Linked DNA regions of Caenorhabditis elegans. The protein of the gene in region 2 purifies or fractionates together with the protein of the main gene of each other region. This does not show direct contact. Each region holds a gene or a part of one and is shown on either strand. Other genes may lie near its edges.

What was found.
Region 1: the proteins of cbd-1 (region 2) and R09A8.2 fractionate together in Caenorhabditis elegans (co-fractionation; one large-scale study listed by BioGRID). This does not show direct contact.

The regions. Positions count from the first base shown.
Region 1 is NC_003284.9:12,615,232-12,623,308, reverse strand, and holds the start of R09A8.2 (Dentin sialophosphoprotein-like), read right to left. Parts: upstream 3,845-8,077; 5' UTR 3,838-3,844; coding exon 3,249-3,837; intron 3,200-3,248; coding exon 2,817-3,199; intron 2,766-2,816; coding exon 2,607-2,765; intron 2,510-2,606; coding exon 2,336-2,509; intron 2,291-2,335; coding exon 2,111-2,290; intron 2,050-2,110; coding exon 1,780-2,049; intron 1,730-1,779; coding exon 1,550-1,729; intron 1,351-1,549; coding exon 1,042-1,350; intron 939-1,041; coding exon 840-938; intron 794-839; coding exon 550-793; intron 148-549; coding exon 5-147; 3' UTR 1-4. Other genes in the region: R09A8.1 (Protein kinase domain-containing protein), read right to left, coding at 5,429-5,518, 5,570-6,264, 6,409-6,600, 6,733-6,966, 7,104-7,244, 7,389-7,614, 7,661-7,843, 7,890-8,077.
Region 2 is NC_003282.8:11,368,480-11,376,556, reverse strand, and holds the start of cbd-1 (Chitin-binding domain protein cbd-1), read right to left. Parts: upstream 3,567-8,077; 5' UTR 3,564-3,566; coding exon 3,518-3,563; intron 3,471-3,517; coding exon 3,376-3,470; intron 3,331-3,375; coding exon 2,775-3,330; intron 2,729-2,774; coding exon 2,120-2,728; intron 2,074-2,119; coding exon 1,153-2,073; intron 1,105-1,152; coding exon 826-1,104; intron 779-825; coding exon 443-778; intron 395-442; coding exon 1-394. Other genes in the region: sec-31 (WD_REPEATS_REGION domain-containing protein), read left to right, coding at 4,805-4,870, 4,918-5,057, 5,104-5,298, 5,347-5,563, 5,609-5,781, 5,887-6,274, 8,034-8,077. UniProt on the Caenorhabditis elegans protein: In unfertilized oocytes, maintains egg-1 and egg-2 at the plasma membrane together with chitin synthase chs-1 and kinase mbk-2. Essential for the formation of a continuous and cohesive chitin layer following fertilization.

The DNA.
Region 1 (8,077 bases), on a different chromosome or scaffold from region 2:
TGATCTAAATCAGTTCCTTTTCCAGAATCTCTTCTCCAGACGACGATCCTGATCCAATGTTTGAAGTAGTTGTCAAAACCATTCTAGTCTTTTCGGCGTTCGAAAATGAGATTGATGATGGAACTCGTTTCTTTTTTGGCGGTTGGTCTGAAAAACCATTAAAATACGTTATTTATATACATATATACTAATTTCATTTTAAATTTAAAAAAATAACAAAGGATTCAATACTGATTTTCCAATGAGTTTTTCTGATTTTGTTCTTTCTGATTCTGACACCGATTTGTATAGAAAAAAGAATTTTAATAACAAGTAAATACTTATTTACTTTTTCGCAAGATTGGTATGTGTTGTATCCATCTTTTATCAATTTTAACTTGTTTTACATTTTTTCAGGAGATCTGCCAAAGTGTTGAACCTGTTTCTTATTCAATATTTTGGTAAAATATGAAAATACTAATAAATATTAATAATAATAGTGAAATACTTTTAACAATATTGGCATAAAAATTCGATATTGCATAAATGAGGATTCACAATGTAACACACCTTTGCCCAAATCAGAAGAAGTATCCACAAGCATTCGCTTCAAAGTATTGGAAGATTGATCTTCAACAAGTGTTGAAATATTTTTTGGATTGTAAGGAACAACAGCTAAAACGTTTTCTTGACGTTTTTTCTCTGATGTTTCTTGAGTACCAGTCGAAGAACAAGAATCCACATTCGACTCGACGTCCAATGAATGTACAAATGACGCGTTTTCATTCGCATCGTCACGGCTGCTCTCATGTTTCTAAAAACTCAATATATTGATTTTGTATTTTTCTAAAACAACTAACCTCTTTTTGCCAAAACTGCTTCATACGCTCCTGCTCCATACGCTTGCTCAGTGATTCTTTAGAACCATGATCATCCAAACTACGCAATCGCTCTTTTTCCTAAAAAAAAAACTCATGTGTTTATTAATTAATGAAAAAGCTTCAAAAAAAAAAACCAATAACAAACTGTTCACGATACTTTTCTTCGGCTCAAATCACTAACCTTCATCTGTCCATGGCTTTCTCGAAGTTGGGCTTTTGTTTCTTCGAAGGCAATGACATCAATATTTTGCACGTCCGTGCAAGAACTTGTGCTCCCCGTCGATTCAATAGATTTGAAACGTTTTCCGAGCAACATGCCTAGATCAGGTACCAATGGACGAGAACTCGTGCTAACCGTTGCTTCAGTCGATGTTGACCGTTTTCCAAACAACATTTCTAGATCAGGTATCAATGGGCCCGTTTCGTAGGTATATTTATCCAGCAGAGATTTGTACTCGGTTGGGGTGCATTGGTGCTCTTTTTGATTATTCTGAAAGTAAGTTTAGTTTAGAAAAATAACCGTTGGTCCGTTTCGTGAGTATATTTAATACCAAAGATTTGATTGGTCGCGGTGTATTGGTGCTTTTTTTGATTATTCCTAATGCATGTTTCACGCACTTTTTCACCAACATCAGCACACTTAATGTAAAATGCCAAAACAAGAGCCTATTTAAAATATTAAAACCTACTTGAGCCTTGATTCCAAGGGCTTCTATTTCTCTTCCATTCATTGTTGAATTGTTAGAATCCTTCAACAAGCCGGTGTCTACACGAGAAAATTGAATGGATCTATCATCGTTAGTTTCGACGTCTGTAGACTCAAACAAGTCGATTTGGGGATCCAACGCTAGCTCATGGTTCTTTGCATCCTGTTGAAATCAGATGATCATTAAGTGAGTACTTCATTAAATCAACTAGCCTTTTTCTCATCAAGAGCCTGTTCAAACTGACGACGCTCCTGTTCATTGTAACCAACATCAACAGAAGAATGACTATTCATACAAGCAGAAGAATTGGTCTTCGGATAAACTGGATATAGAAACGCGGCTCTCCGGAGAGTTGCTTGGCATTTTTCTGCCAATGTATTTGGTGTTGTAGTCGATGAACTGATTTTTTCATCCGAGGCTACGTCCAGTGAGATTTCAAAAGAAACTATGCGATTAGAGTCTTCACGGTCTTTTTCACCAATCTGATTAAAGAATTATAAAATTTAACTTCAAATAGTTGAATTTTTCACTAAGACTGCGTACCTTTATCTGCTCACAACGCTGCTCCGAATTTTGCTTTTCGCTCTCTACAAAAACAGAACTGTCGAAACCATGTACTTCCATTTGAGTATCTGCACTACTGTACGGATTAGCTGGCATCGAACTTCTCTCAATCATTCTTGCCAATGAAGTCACAGAGATCTGTTTGTCTTCTTGTTTTTCCTGGAAAACATAATCACTCATTAAACTAACGCAATGAAAACTTACTGCAGTTTCCTGTGAAACTTCTTCTACTTTCTTGTTTTCTGCCAGAAGAGAAATGTCAAAGTGACTTTGCTCTGGATGAATATCAGATAGTGGACAAGATCCAAAGGACGACTCGTGGTCCAACGCCGAAGAGTTCCGAGTTTTCTTTGCGTAATCACATTGGTTTTTCTCCTTCTGCAAACAAAATATTTTATATGAATAAATTTTTTACCACCATCAATAGTTTTAAACATTTTTCCCACTAGCGCTACTTCACATTTAAGCAACTAACCAGTTTCTGCTCCATCAACTGTTCCAAACGACGGCGCTCGCTTTTCACAAAACCAGAACTAGCAAAACATTGTGCATTGACACGATCATCTGTGCTTGTGTTCCCATCACTCGACAAACAAGAAGAGTTTTGAACAGTCATAGAGAATTGGAGCCCTTTCTGAAAACATATTCATATTAATTTTACAGTTAATTCAATAAAATCACTAACATGTGCATCCACTGAATTTCCTTTCATTTGCGGATCAATTTGTTTCACATGATCGGAATTTTTCAGCTGTCTTGTTTCCTCATAACTGGTGTTCAATGTGTTTCCAGAAATTGAATTCATACCGTTGCACAACTGGTCATCATGAGTTCCCACATTTATTGGAGATGTAGGAATCTCACCAAAATAGAAAGTCTTATCGGGGGTAGCATCTCTCAGAGTTCGATAATCTTGTAAAGCACTCGCTAGCTTTTTAGTTTTATCTTCTTCAATCACATGTGGGTAGTTTGGAGTGCCCCAATTTGGATCAAACGCAATAACTTCTTCTGGTCTGTACAATGGAGCAGGTCTTTTGGTGTTTGGTTGAATATCATACAAGCTATCATCTAAATGCAATTTCGTTAGAGATTGTGCAATCAAACGTACAAAATTTACCATAAGATTTGAATCCATAATATTCTGCGTTGGTTTCCAATTTCTCAGTTTTATTATTGGCCATTTCCACATCGCTCCGAATCATTACAAAAAAATCCAGAAGCTCGATCACCAAATCATCAGAAAACTTGTCAACGTCCGCCATCTTTTCGCGATAAGACAAAAGACTTCTGGGCTCTTTTCCATCGTTGTATTCACCGAACTGAACAATGCGCAGGATCGGGATACTGTAGTTTTCCGGAATCGAGTTCATCAATTTTTTGAGTTCAGCTTTATCATCCATATCAATTTCAAATCTCGCATAAAATGACGAATATCGTCCAATTTCACACGGAGACGTTGTCTTCTCTTTTCCATTACCAGCCACAGGTTTTGAGCAGACATCTGGTACATTGGAAACAATTGAATCTTTTGATTTTAATTTGAAATAAAACGTTGATTCATTGTCACATAATTTCATTGAACTGTACCCATTGGAGCGCATTTTTGAATGAGTATCAGAAGAACTATCTGACCCATTTCTTTCAATATTCAGTCGACTTGCAGATCGCAAGGTCATGCGCCTTGAGCCCAGTTTGGGATCCTCCATTGAAAATCTGAAATATGTTTTAAAATGATTTCATAAATTGGAATAAAGTGAAAAGATTGAAAGTTCACAACAAACAGTTAATTTGATGGTATTGCTTGGAAACAAAAGCTAAACGTCTTTTTAAAAAATAGAACACGATCTGAGCAACTTTTGAATTGTTTCGTTTCAAAAATCCGCGCTTCAAAAAAATTCAAGCTAAATTCAAGGATGATTGTAAACGTAGAAGAAATATGCAGATACAGAAAAAAACAAGATAAAATGAACTCCAAGTGGACACCAAAACTTGTGTTACGAGTTCTAAAACTAGCCTAACTTAGTTCGTTTATTTATCAGTTTGAAGCTTATTTCAGAAAAGAAACCAATACACTAGCGGACGAGTTTATGATGCGGCACACAACTGCGAAGTTCGTAACAAAAGAGAAACGATCAAAAAACGAATTTTAAAAAATTTTAAAAAGTTAATCACATGGAAGAAATAAATTAGCAAGCGACTGAATCTTCGAAAACGAGGAGCAGAATCTGTAGTTTGGAAAAAAACCCAAATTGTTCATATTACAGGACAATTAATTTTTTACCGCATGCGAATAATGATAGTGCAGATGAAAGGACTATGCTAATAAGATGCGCATCACCAACCGGGCTAGAGATGAGAAAAAATGGCCGAAAGGTGATGGCAAATGAAAAGAAATGAATCACGGCCATAAAAAATACATGGAGACTGCACGAGAGGGCAGTCGGCGAGAGTCCCGGGCGGGAAATTCTGGAATGTTTTATCTCGGTCCCCGAACACCCTGCGCCGACAGTTCATATAAGGAGGTGAGAGAGCGCAGAGAAAGGAGAGACAATGCCGCCCTAGATCTGTTCCTGTTCGCGCTCCGCTGCCATTCGAAGGTGGGACCTTCGAATGGCGGCGGAGCGCGTTTGCAGCAGGGGTGTGATAATAGCTGATTTAGCCGAATATGCCGATCGGCTGATCTTGAAAAACAAGTGTCTTTTTTTCTGGCTTTTCTGAGTTCCAAACAGTTTGGAATAGTTTACAACGATTCAAAGTAAACGTTTCTAAAAACTGTTCGGCGTGCGTGCAAGGGTATGAAAACTGCATTTTTACAGAGATTTAGCAAACAAAGTTGAATATTTTTTAAAAAAATATGTCAAAAAACTATTCATTCACAAGAGTTGCTTGCATGAGATCGGGTGCAGGAGCATGAAAACCGTTGAAAAATACCTCGAAAGAATAACCGGAGAAGCAATATGAGGAGGGGTGAGAGGATGACAATAATGAGATCAATAAAAAACTGGATAACAATAGAAAATATCAAACATTTCAGAATATACAATTATGAAGTTATTTCCTTAATAATAATAAATGATACAAAACCTGTCTTGGAAAAATATCAGGAGACTTAACTTGAGTATAAATTAAGACATATAAAACGTGGGTCAAGCCACTCAAAATCTACCTAGATTAAACAAAAATACTAGGATAGGAATATAGGAAATGCAAAAATCAATATAAACATCTTTGAATAATGAAAACGAGAGTCAAGTTGGTAGAAAATCGGATGCAACAATAACAGATTCAAACGTTCAACTACGAATGTAGGCAACTGCTTCTGAATTTGAACAGCGTTGTAGCGTCGTTGTTGTCATACTCCGTTTGCAGACGGCTGAGAAGTCTAGCCTGAAATTACAAATTTATAACGTATGACAATCAAATTTGAAAAATAGTAACCCTGGATTGTCGTCTCATAGCTTTTCTGTGCTCCAGTTTTCGTTCCGCGCTAATTTGTGACCTTTCCAATCGATGCTGTTCCTTGTCTCGTCGAATCTCTTCGTCAGTTATCACACAAACCTTATTACAAAATAAGAACATGTGTTTTCTGGAAGTGTCCAACGGCTGTCTTCCAGACATGGAAGCATTTTCTCTTCTTGTATTCTGATTCTGGCTTTGATCAACTGGCCCTGATCGTCCTTTGAGAATGCCGGTTGCACGAGAATTTGCAGTAATCCACGAGTTGTTCGAGGCAGGTGCTAACAATGGCTTAGTGTTAGAGTCACTTGGAAGCAGTCTGTCAATGACTGAGAATTGACCATTTTTCATGTGTGAAACGTTTGGTGCTTGACAACGAGGTGCAGCAAACTTTGAGGCAGCCGCATTCACTGTTGAAACCTTTGATGAGTGAATCATTCGTGTTGGAGCCTTTGACCGATAATCATTCACATTTGCAGCGATTGACGACGAAGAGTGGAGTGCGGCACCAATCGGCACTTGGACTCTCTGGGTGTAAGAATGTTGTCGTGTATCGCGCTGTGAAAAGAATGGTTCATCACTTCGAGCCGCTTGTTTTGATGTAGATGTACACGCAGTTGTGACAGCACTTTTGGTTCGGTACACTCTTTTGGCACGAATCTTCTTTCTTGAACGCTCTGAAAAATCCATTTTTATATTCCTATTATAGAAGATTTGTCTTGATTTGAAATTTCATAGTTTACTTCAAAACTGTTTAAATCTAAATCATAATGATATCTAGAGCAAATAAACTATGACATCCCCAACATCGCGGTTCATACTTGGATGATATTCCACCAAGTTGGATTTGCTAAAATTCTTTAACTGAGCAAGTGTCTTTGGCTTTTCATTGGAGACTGTATCACTATCCGAATTCAAATAGTTTCCCAGATGTGATTCTTTGAAACGAGCAATGTATGAAGATCGTTCATCGAAGGTTTTCCGTGAGAAGCGTGGCTTTTTTGACAGAAGTTCTGAAAGTTATTAGTTTTATTTGTCTTGATAATGATCTAGTTGTTGTTTCAAATCGGTGTTTGAAGAAGATATGTTTAAAAAAAATATGAGAATAGCCATAATTTGAAGAAATCGCTGAAGCTGTGACTAACCTCGTTTGAAGTTCAAATCAGCCGTCAACTCCCGATCACTCCACCATTCTGGATCGCTATCGCCTGACGTAGAGCTAATGTCCACAATTGGCTTCGCGTACGATTTTTTCAACAGTTTGTGAGCTGAGATTGCATCTTTCATTGAGCCCTTGATTGCAGGGAGCTTATAGACAACCGCTCGAGGGGGAAGCAACGCTCCGGCCTCCTTTTTCATCGGTTTTATTGGCGGTGCTGCTGTAAATGCTGAATATATAGCGGCTAAATGAATGTTAAACTATTTTTGAAATTACAGTTCTGACTATTAAATACAAGAAAACTTTTGACCAAATTTATAGATATATATAAAATATGTAGAAGTATATAAAACTTACGCTTAGATTTGAGAATATGGAAAAACATGTGAGAAGAACTTGAATAAAATGCAACAGCGTAGGATGACTGAGGCTGGTACCATGGGACTGGCACGCCTTCTTCGACAAATCTTGATACATTAGCCTTCTTGAGTAGAATACCTGAAAAACAAACATGAATTGCGTGTTGCCATTGGTGGAGTGGCTGATGTTAGAACAGTTATCTTTTGTGGGTGCATTTCTGAAAAGTGATTGATGCATTGATGAACAAATTAGACATAAACAATTATTTAAAAGACAGCAAACCTGTGTCCGAATCAGAAGAGCTTTCTGATAGTTTTCGCTTTGATGAAGCATTATTAGAAGTCCTTGCTGAATATTGAGAAACATCACTTGAAACTGTGTTTCCGAAATCCTCTTCAGATGCATTTTGAGTCGATGAAAAATATATCACATTCGTCGCGAACTCACAATAGATTCTAAAAGAAGGTCTACGACTGACCACGGCATGTTCACTATCTTTTTCATCTTTCTGAAAACACAAGTTCTTCATTGATTTTTTTTACAGAGCCGCTAACCTTCCATTCCATATACCGCTTCAGACGGAAGCACTTCCCTTCTTTAATGGCAAAGCTATATACTTCCATGTCAGAACTCGTGATTTCCTTCGAATCAGTTGTCATCGAATCCTTTCTGTGCGAACTGGTTGAAGAATAACAACTTTGATTGGGACGAGGGAACTGATACAATTGCTCATTTTGCTGAAATATAACATTATTCTTTGATTTTAACAAAGAAAACTGTTACTTCTGCTATCTTCATCATTTCCTCCATGTGTCGTCTATTCTTTTCCTTGCGATCTGTTATGTAAGGCCAACATTCCGTACGAGAAATTGTAGGTGGCAAATATTTATCATTCGATTTGACGTTCAACCAAAGTCCCGGAAAAGCAATTCGACTGGCTATATTGTGTTCAGTAGGCATCCAGTTTCTTT
Region 2 (8,077 bases):
CAACCGATTCTAGGAACGCATCTGTTAGAGTGAGAATCGAAGAGTTTCCCAATCCTGCACAATTTCTCAACGTTTCCGGCGTCGGTACATTCCAGGTATGTGCGAACGCAGAATCCAACGGGGGTACGTGATCCAACGGTGCATTTTTGGTCGTGCTCCACGTCATCCTCTTCTTCGTCTTCGCTGTCATTATCGGCTCGGTCATAGGATCTAGTAGACGTGGTTTCATCTCCGTATGGAATAGTGTATTCACCGCTGTCTGTTGTAGAATATTTAGTGGAGCCAGTGATGTAGGTGTCCGTTGGCCCGTCATTTGCAACTGTAGTAGCAGCCTCAGTTGTCGTAAGAACCTCTTCTAATGTCTTGTACGGCATTAACTGAACAAGACCAGCATCTGAAATAATTAGAGGATTGAAGCTTAAGAAATATTGAAATTTGATACCTGTCGTAACTTCCTGCTCATCACAAGCTCGAGCTGGAATTTCACTGAAAGTCCGGCAACCTTGTACTGATGGATCGTAACCTTCACCCAGCTGGCAGTTACCCGAACTGATAAGGCGTCCATGTGAACAGACGAAGTAAAACGATGAGCATCCCGTTCCATGAGTTCCATCTGAGAGACTTGTGCAGGTATCAACTGGGTTGACAGTAACCGACGGAATGTACGGTGCCACGGAAGGTTCATACGTTGTTGGCTCATCCTCTGATGGCGATGCTGGAGTAGTTGTGAAGTCCAAATACGGAACAGTCGACGAAGAACTTACGTCTGCTGTTTGGCCTGAAATTGTAACTTTCATAATATTTTCAAACAAAGTTAAAACTCACATTTGAACACTTCGTCTCTGAAACGGCAACTTTGGCTTCGTTCATCGAAATACAGAGACCCTTCACATTCTCTCACAGATGCAGCACTATCCGAGCACTGGATGTACTTTTGCGAGCAACCTAGATCAAAAAGCCCAGAAGCAACATAAGCGCATCGATCTCCAACCGGCGTTTGTGTGGTGGATGGGACATCATCCGATGGGATTCCGTAGTAGTTCGATGACTGATCCTGGCCTGGTGTAGTGATAACAGGTGAACTTGTAGATCCTTGGGATCCGCCTGAAAATTATCAAGTTGATATAAACCTCAGCTTAGACTAAAGCTTACACTCTGGAACTTCATCTCTGTAAGTACACTCTTGTGTGGCCTCATTGAAATACAACGATTCTCCACAACGACGCACAATTGCTGCTCCATTAGAACATTGAATGTATTTTTGCGAGCATCCAAGTGAGAAAAGGCCTGATGCGTCCAATGAACAACGATCCCCAATGGGAGCAGCTGAAGTCGATGGCACGTCATTTGAAGAGTATTGGGTGGTGTAAGATTCGTATGAATTTGGAGCCTGAGTGGTTGATGGTTGATCATTCCATGTTGATTGAGTAGTGACGCCGTCATTCTCAATGTACTCAGAAGGTGCAGATAAATCGTCTGAAGTCTGTGTTCCGATTGTGACAGCGACTATTGTTGTTGAAACACCGCACGTTTCTGAGCAAGAACGAAGAGTTTTGTCGAATGTTTCTCCAATTGGACAAGCTGCCATACGATTGATTCCGTTTCCAGAGCAGAAAATGAACTGATCGAAACAGTCGCCGAATGTAAGGAAAGTGGGAGTAGTGTATTGTTGACAGTCCTTGTTTACTTGAGCTTGTCGAGCAGATATTTGTGCAGACTGCTGTCCATATACAGATTGTTCAGTTCCGTAGTAGGCTGAACGCTTCCTTCTCGTGGCTCCGAACAAATCTTTTGCGTCGAACGTTTTCTCGTCGTCATAGCCGTCTGGATCCTCATGTGGTCCCAACTGTTTTTTTGAATGACGATTCTTCGGGAATACTTGCTCAATGTTAGATTCAACAAACTTCGCGTTTGGCCCTTCGAACTCATCATCAATCAAGAAACGTTTGTTTCCATCAACCTTCCTGGCATCTCCTTGGATCTTTCCCATTCTTGCACGGCGGTAGTCTTTGAATTGATCGCTAAGTGCAGCACGACCACGGAAAGCGGTTGAGAATGGAGAATCAATGGCCGCTGAAGTATCAAAATTATCACAAAGAAAAGACTAATCCTAACTTACGTCCATAACCATAGCGGCGATGATCTCTGTGGCTGCCTCCACGGTGTCGAGGGATGAAGAATGGATTCTCAAGATACGAGTTTCCATTTACCGGTCCGTAACTCGGCTTCCCATGATGATACTTACGCCTTCTGTCGAATTTTGGTTTCAGACGAACGTTCTCATCAAATGGACTGACGATGGTATCCGATGGAGGCCCGTAAGAGTTGTACGCAGGAGCGGCGGGAACAGTGATTGGTTGACATTGTGGCAAATCGAACACGCACATAACGAGAGAGGACTCGAAGAGAGTGTTGACTGGACATTGCTTTGAACGCACCGAGTTGTTCTGACAACGATTGAATCGTGACGAACACATCCCGAAGGAGTTGACTTGTCCCTCCTGACAAACGAACGGAGTTTGCGTCGTTGTTGTCGTTGTCACGGCATCAAATCCAGTCGTAGTTGTCTCAATAGCATCAATTGAAGGTGTTGTTGTTGTTGAGATGACATCAGCGGAAGTTGTTGAGCTGTATTCACTGTCATCTTCTTGCGGTGTTGTGATTGTAGAAGTTGAGTACGATACAGTGGTCGTTGGATCATCGGTCGTGCATTGGAAATCGCAGGACTCTGAAAAACGAAGAAATTAACATAATACTCGATCACGTGCACTTACGTTGATTGATATTGAAAACTGTTCCCGGTGGACAGTATCTCTGGAACACCATGTTGTTGCTGCATGAGTAGAATACGTCATTGCAACCGTCGGCGTAGTTTCCGTCTTCCAGACCGTTGCAATCGAAGTCAATTGAATCCGGCTGCTCGTTCGACGGTTGACGTTCGTAATCTCCAGCAATCTCACCGGAAGCTTCTCCGTATCCTTCTTCACCATCTTCGTAGACTTGTGGTGCAGTAGTTGTGTCCTGTTTCACTTCGTCGCAAGATTCACGACAATCTTGGGTTCTTTCGTTAAAGACCAAGCTATCAGGACATTTCGCCATGTAGGCTCCGCCGGCGACGCAGCTGATAAACTGGTTAGAGCAGCCAATGGAGTAGATGCCATCCTGTTTCGATGTGCAGTCGAATTCCGCATATGGGGTGTCATCTTCTTCAGTGTTTTCATCTACTCGACATTCTGGAGATTCGTCGACTGGCACACATTCGTCTTCGTAGAAGACAGAATCATCGCTGCAGGTGGCTGCTTGCCTGACTCCGTTCACACATATCGAGTACTGAAAATAAAGAATTATATTTGAAACGGAGGGCTACTGGTTTACCTCCCGACTGCATGCATTTCCTGCTATGTTTCCGTTGAAGTATGCAGGGCATTCTGTGGCTGCTGGTGAGTGCGGGTATTGAATAGAATTCGAAACTGGAAAATAAAAATATTTGATTGAAAAGAAAGAGGCAGAAACTCACAAAATGTTAGTAGAAGCAGCGAGACGGTGGCTAGCTGTGGCCCCATCGCCTGAAATTGATAACAGTTAGAGGATGAATATTTTAACTTAAAAGTTTTACGAAATAAAAACAGAAAAGGTTCAAAATGGTCGCCATTTCAGGAGAAACTAATAAAAATTAGAGCTAATGAAGAAGGAATGAAATGGAACATTCGAGGTTGAAAACTCAATCCAAAAAATTTCCCGCTCGAGCCTAAAACTGGGGTCAAATAATTTTTGATCTACTGCACTTTTACATGTCTGAAATGGGTATTGGCATACATTTGCTCAATTTTATTCTTTAAAAATTAATTTTAGATCATAAAATTAATGAAAACAAACAAAATATTATGAGAAAATTCAAGATATTTTCAAAATTAAGAAAAACTAAAGAATTGTGCGGCCCAAAAATAACAGAGTACGGTATTAGTTAGCAATCGTGGCGAGACCCAACTAACAACATACATGATCCTTTAATACCAACCGTTTCCATTTTCCAAAATATGTTTTTTTGGTTGATTTAATTTTAATTGCATCCAATTTTTTGTTAATTTTCTGAAACAAAAAAATTAACTTCTAAAAATTCATAGTCGGTTTAAATAATTATAACTTTAAATAGAAAGTTTGGACATTAGCGGCTTACTTGACTACGGTATGCAAAAGTACGCAAAGACACTTCACGTCGTTTTGCAGATCCACGGAAAATCAATTTTTTTTTTGATTTTTAAAATCATCGTTTCGTTTTCCTTCGGGAATAGCGAAATTAAGGTTTTTAATGAACTTTTTTCCTCGCTTCTTTCAATAGCTATTAGTAGAATTTGTGTATTCTCTGTTTTCTCTGTCCGCGCGACATAACTTGAAAAAACATTGTCTGATTTCTTAAACATATAACAATTAGTGTTTTATTTTCTTTTTGATATTTTTCTTAAACATTTTTAAATAAGAAGCTTCTATTTTTTCGAAAATTGGTGCGATGAGTTCACTTTTTGATATTGAAATATTTTGAATTACTCCTCCCAAATTGGGAGTCCCAATTTTTATATGCGGAACATTCTAAGGAACATTCATTCTGCCATTTTTCTTTTCCGTTCGATATCGGTGTTTCTAGCTGTCTGAATTACATCAAGACTACTCTTTTAAAAACTTTCACTTCCTCCTATTTGTTCGAGTGCAAAGGAGCGCACTTACTCCCTGTTCAGCTGCTCTCATTCATCCACGTCAACGTTACAGCTAAAGTTACAACAATTGCTCATTAAACGGAACACGATCGATGAGCTCGAAGCTCTACTCACGTTCCGGCGTATTTGTCTGGAGTCCACGTGGAATTCAGAAAAAGGTAATTAATCAATCTTCGTCTATAATTGAAATAAATCAAATTTTCAGGGCTTAATTGTTGCTGATTTCGCTCAGTTTTTTGACCCGACTGCAACATCAATCGAACCAAAGATCGATTTTTTGCCAGCAAGTGAGATATATGAAAAATCGAATTTGGCCCCGAATGTGTCGCATGCCACTAATTATCGGTGAGAATTATAATGTGAAGCGGTATAGTGTATTTCATAATTTTAGATTCAATGAATTAGCCTGGACTTCTCTGTGTTCCGATGCACATCCGAACGGAATAATTGCTGGCGGTACAGAGGACGGAACTGTGGTATTTTTTGATGCTGATAAATTTATCAAGAATCAATCACTAGAAGTTCTTCTTTCTCGAAGAGATCATCATGGGCATGTTCTCACTATTGATGTTTCCAGGGACGGCAGGTATGAAATGAAAGTTTACAAGAACAATTCAAAAAAATAATTTTTAAGATGGATGGCTTCTGGTGGAGGCTCAGGACAAATTCTTCTCTGGGATTGCGCAAATCTGAAAACACCATTCTCTCCCGGTTCGCCAAATTTCCCAGATCAAGTGAAACTTCTTCGCTGGAACTTGAAGAACGAGTCTGTGTTTGCTTCCATATCGTCCAGAAGAGTCAGTTTTTGGGATTTGAGAAGAAATGGATCGCCGGTGTTAGAATTCGCAGAGGTTGGATTTTCAATTGCCTGGTGGCTATTAAAGTTCTATTTGCAGATTCCTGGCTGTGATTGGTCTTCGCTCTCTTGGAATCCTTCGGACGCCTCACAACTTATAGTTTCCAGCCAATCTCAACACGCCTCTGTTATTCAGAAATGGGATTCGAGATTCACTTCAACACCAGTTAAAGAATACAGACATCATAATATGGGAATTACGAGTGTTGACTGGTAAGTTTTTATTTAAAAGTTTGTTGATTATATAATAAAAATTGAGCTAGACAATTTATTTTTGTACAAAAAACTATATAAAAATTACGAAAAATATTAATACAGGAACAAAGCTGATGATCGTCTTGTAATTTCATCTGGCTGTGATGGACAAGTGGTTATATGGAATCACGAAACATCTGAGGTGCTTGGAGGTGTTGGAAGTCTTCAAGGAGACTGGATCCGAAATGTTAAATGGAATGAAGAGGAGCCATCACAATTTGCTATTCAATATTTCCAACATCCTGTTCAAATATCCTCATTGACTAGTCTTGGATCTCCGCAACCAGGAGCCGATGTACTTGCCGCTAGGATCTCCGATCAATTTGTTCCTGCATGGCACCGTGCTCCCTTAATTGGCTCATCAATAGCATTAGGTGGACGGTTGGCAACATTCTGGAAGTCCTACGATGCAATGACCCAACAATGGCACCATAATGTGGAAATTGAAACGGTATTGAAATTTTATAACAAATCTCGTTTTTGACTAGCGGGCCCTATGGGGCCCGCTAGTAGAGGTTGGGTTGGGGCGAGTCCGCTAGCTGGCGCGGGTTCTCGGCTTCGCCTCGAACGTGCGATTGGCAATGTTTTGGGTCTCGCACCGCAGGCCTACGGCCTGCGTGGCTTCCTGAACCAGTATAGCAGGCCTTCGGCCTGCTATAATAGAACAAAAATATGTAAGTAATCAAATATACTGTAGGGATAGTCAAAAAGGTTGCCACAGGCAAGAATTATTCAAAACAATTGCAATTGTATGTACATGTACACGTGGACAGCCAAAGACGACATGTTTGAGGGGTTTATGGTGGGGTGACGATGTGTCGAGTAGAAGAATATCTCCACTATATGACTGATAATTCAAATATGTTGATTTTTGGGAAGAGTTGGGTACCCAGGTGAGTTGAATAATACAACTACCACTGGCGGATGAGGGGAAGGAGGGGGCCGGGCAAAGACTTTTCAAACTTCGACGCGTCGTAACTTTGTTCATAGTAGGAATTGAAAAATTAAAAGTATATACTTGAACTCAGCGTTAAAAGGAGAATATGATAGCATTTGAAATTTTAGAAATTGGTGAAGAATGAACTTTTGAGCTTCCTAAGCATGGCCTGAAGCCTACAACTTCAGGAACGGGGCTCGAGGAACTCATGACCAAAAAATTTTAGTTTGTCTCGCTTCTCATAGCAAAAATAATAAGAATTAGGACATAAAATTCATTATCCAACAGAAAACTGGTCCAGGAAAAGAGGAAAATTGAAATTTCGAGGTCAAAAATTAAATAAACTAAATTCGTTGAAAATGATCGTAGAGGACTGTGCTTTCAGCTTGCATTCGGTATTTATGTACTAATTACGAATTTAACATAAAATCCCATTCGGTAGTGGAAAATTTTTTATTTTTCCAGCAAAAACGTCATTTTTTTGAGAAAATGCAGAAATTTGCGATTTCTGAAGTTATTTTTGACTTTTTTGTAAAAAAAATTATATTTTTGAAGAGTAAATTTCCTGAAAAATACGTTTTTCGAAAAATTTACCCCAAAAAGTGCCAAACTGACCGACTTACAGCCGAAAGAATCTCAAAAATCACTAATTTGCACACCAAGGGGTTGCGCACAATTTCATTGAAAAATCGTCAATTTATGCTTTTTTCGTAACTTTCCGGTTGGATAATGAGAAAACTATTTAGAAAAACGGAATCTACGTTAAAATTTACATTTGATAATGTAAAATAAAACAAAAATACGAACGTTAAACATGTTTTCAACGCAATTTTCGAAATTCCGGGATTTTTCGAGTCCGATTTTCAAATCATCATAACTCAGTTCAAAATTGATGAAATTGCAAAAACTAAAAATTTTTATCAATCCCAGATATACAGTTACCTTATCAAAAACATTTTATACTATGACCTCTAAACGTGTGCAAAAAAAGCGACACTACACGCGAAAAAAGTGATTTTTTCGTGTTTCATCAAGAATTTCTCTTAAAAGATGAAATCAAATCAAATAACCATTTAGATAATAAGATAGAAAAAGCGATTCTCTATTTCCTACAAAAAAGAAAATTAAAAAATGTGCAGGTACAGCAAAGTTACAGACGAAAGTGCACACCCAACTTTTTAAATTTTTTGTTACACTTTTTGCGCAAAAAGTGACGACCCTTGCACTTTCCGGATTTAATATAGGAAGAAGGCAGAAGTTTTTCTATTTTCAGATAGTTCCAGAAAACGATGTTGGTGTCAACGACATTGCTCAGTA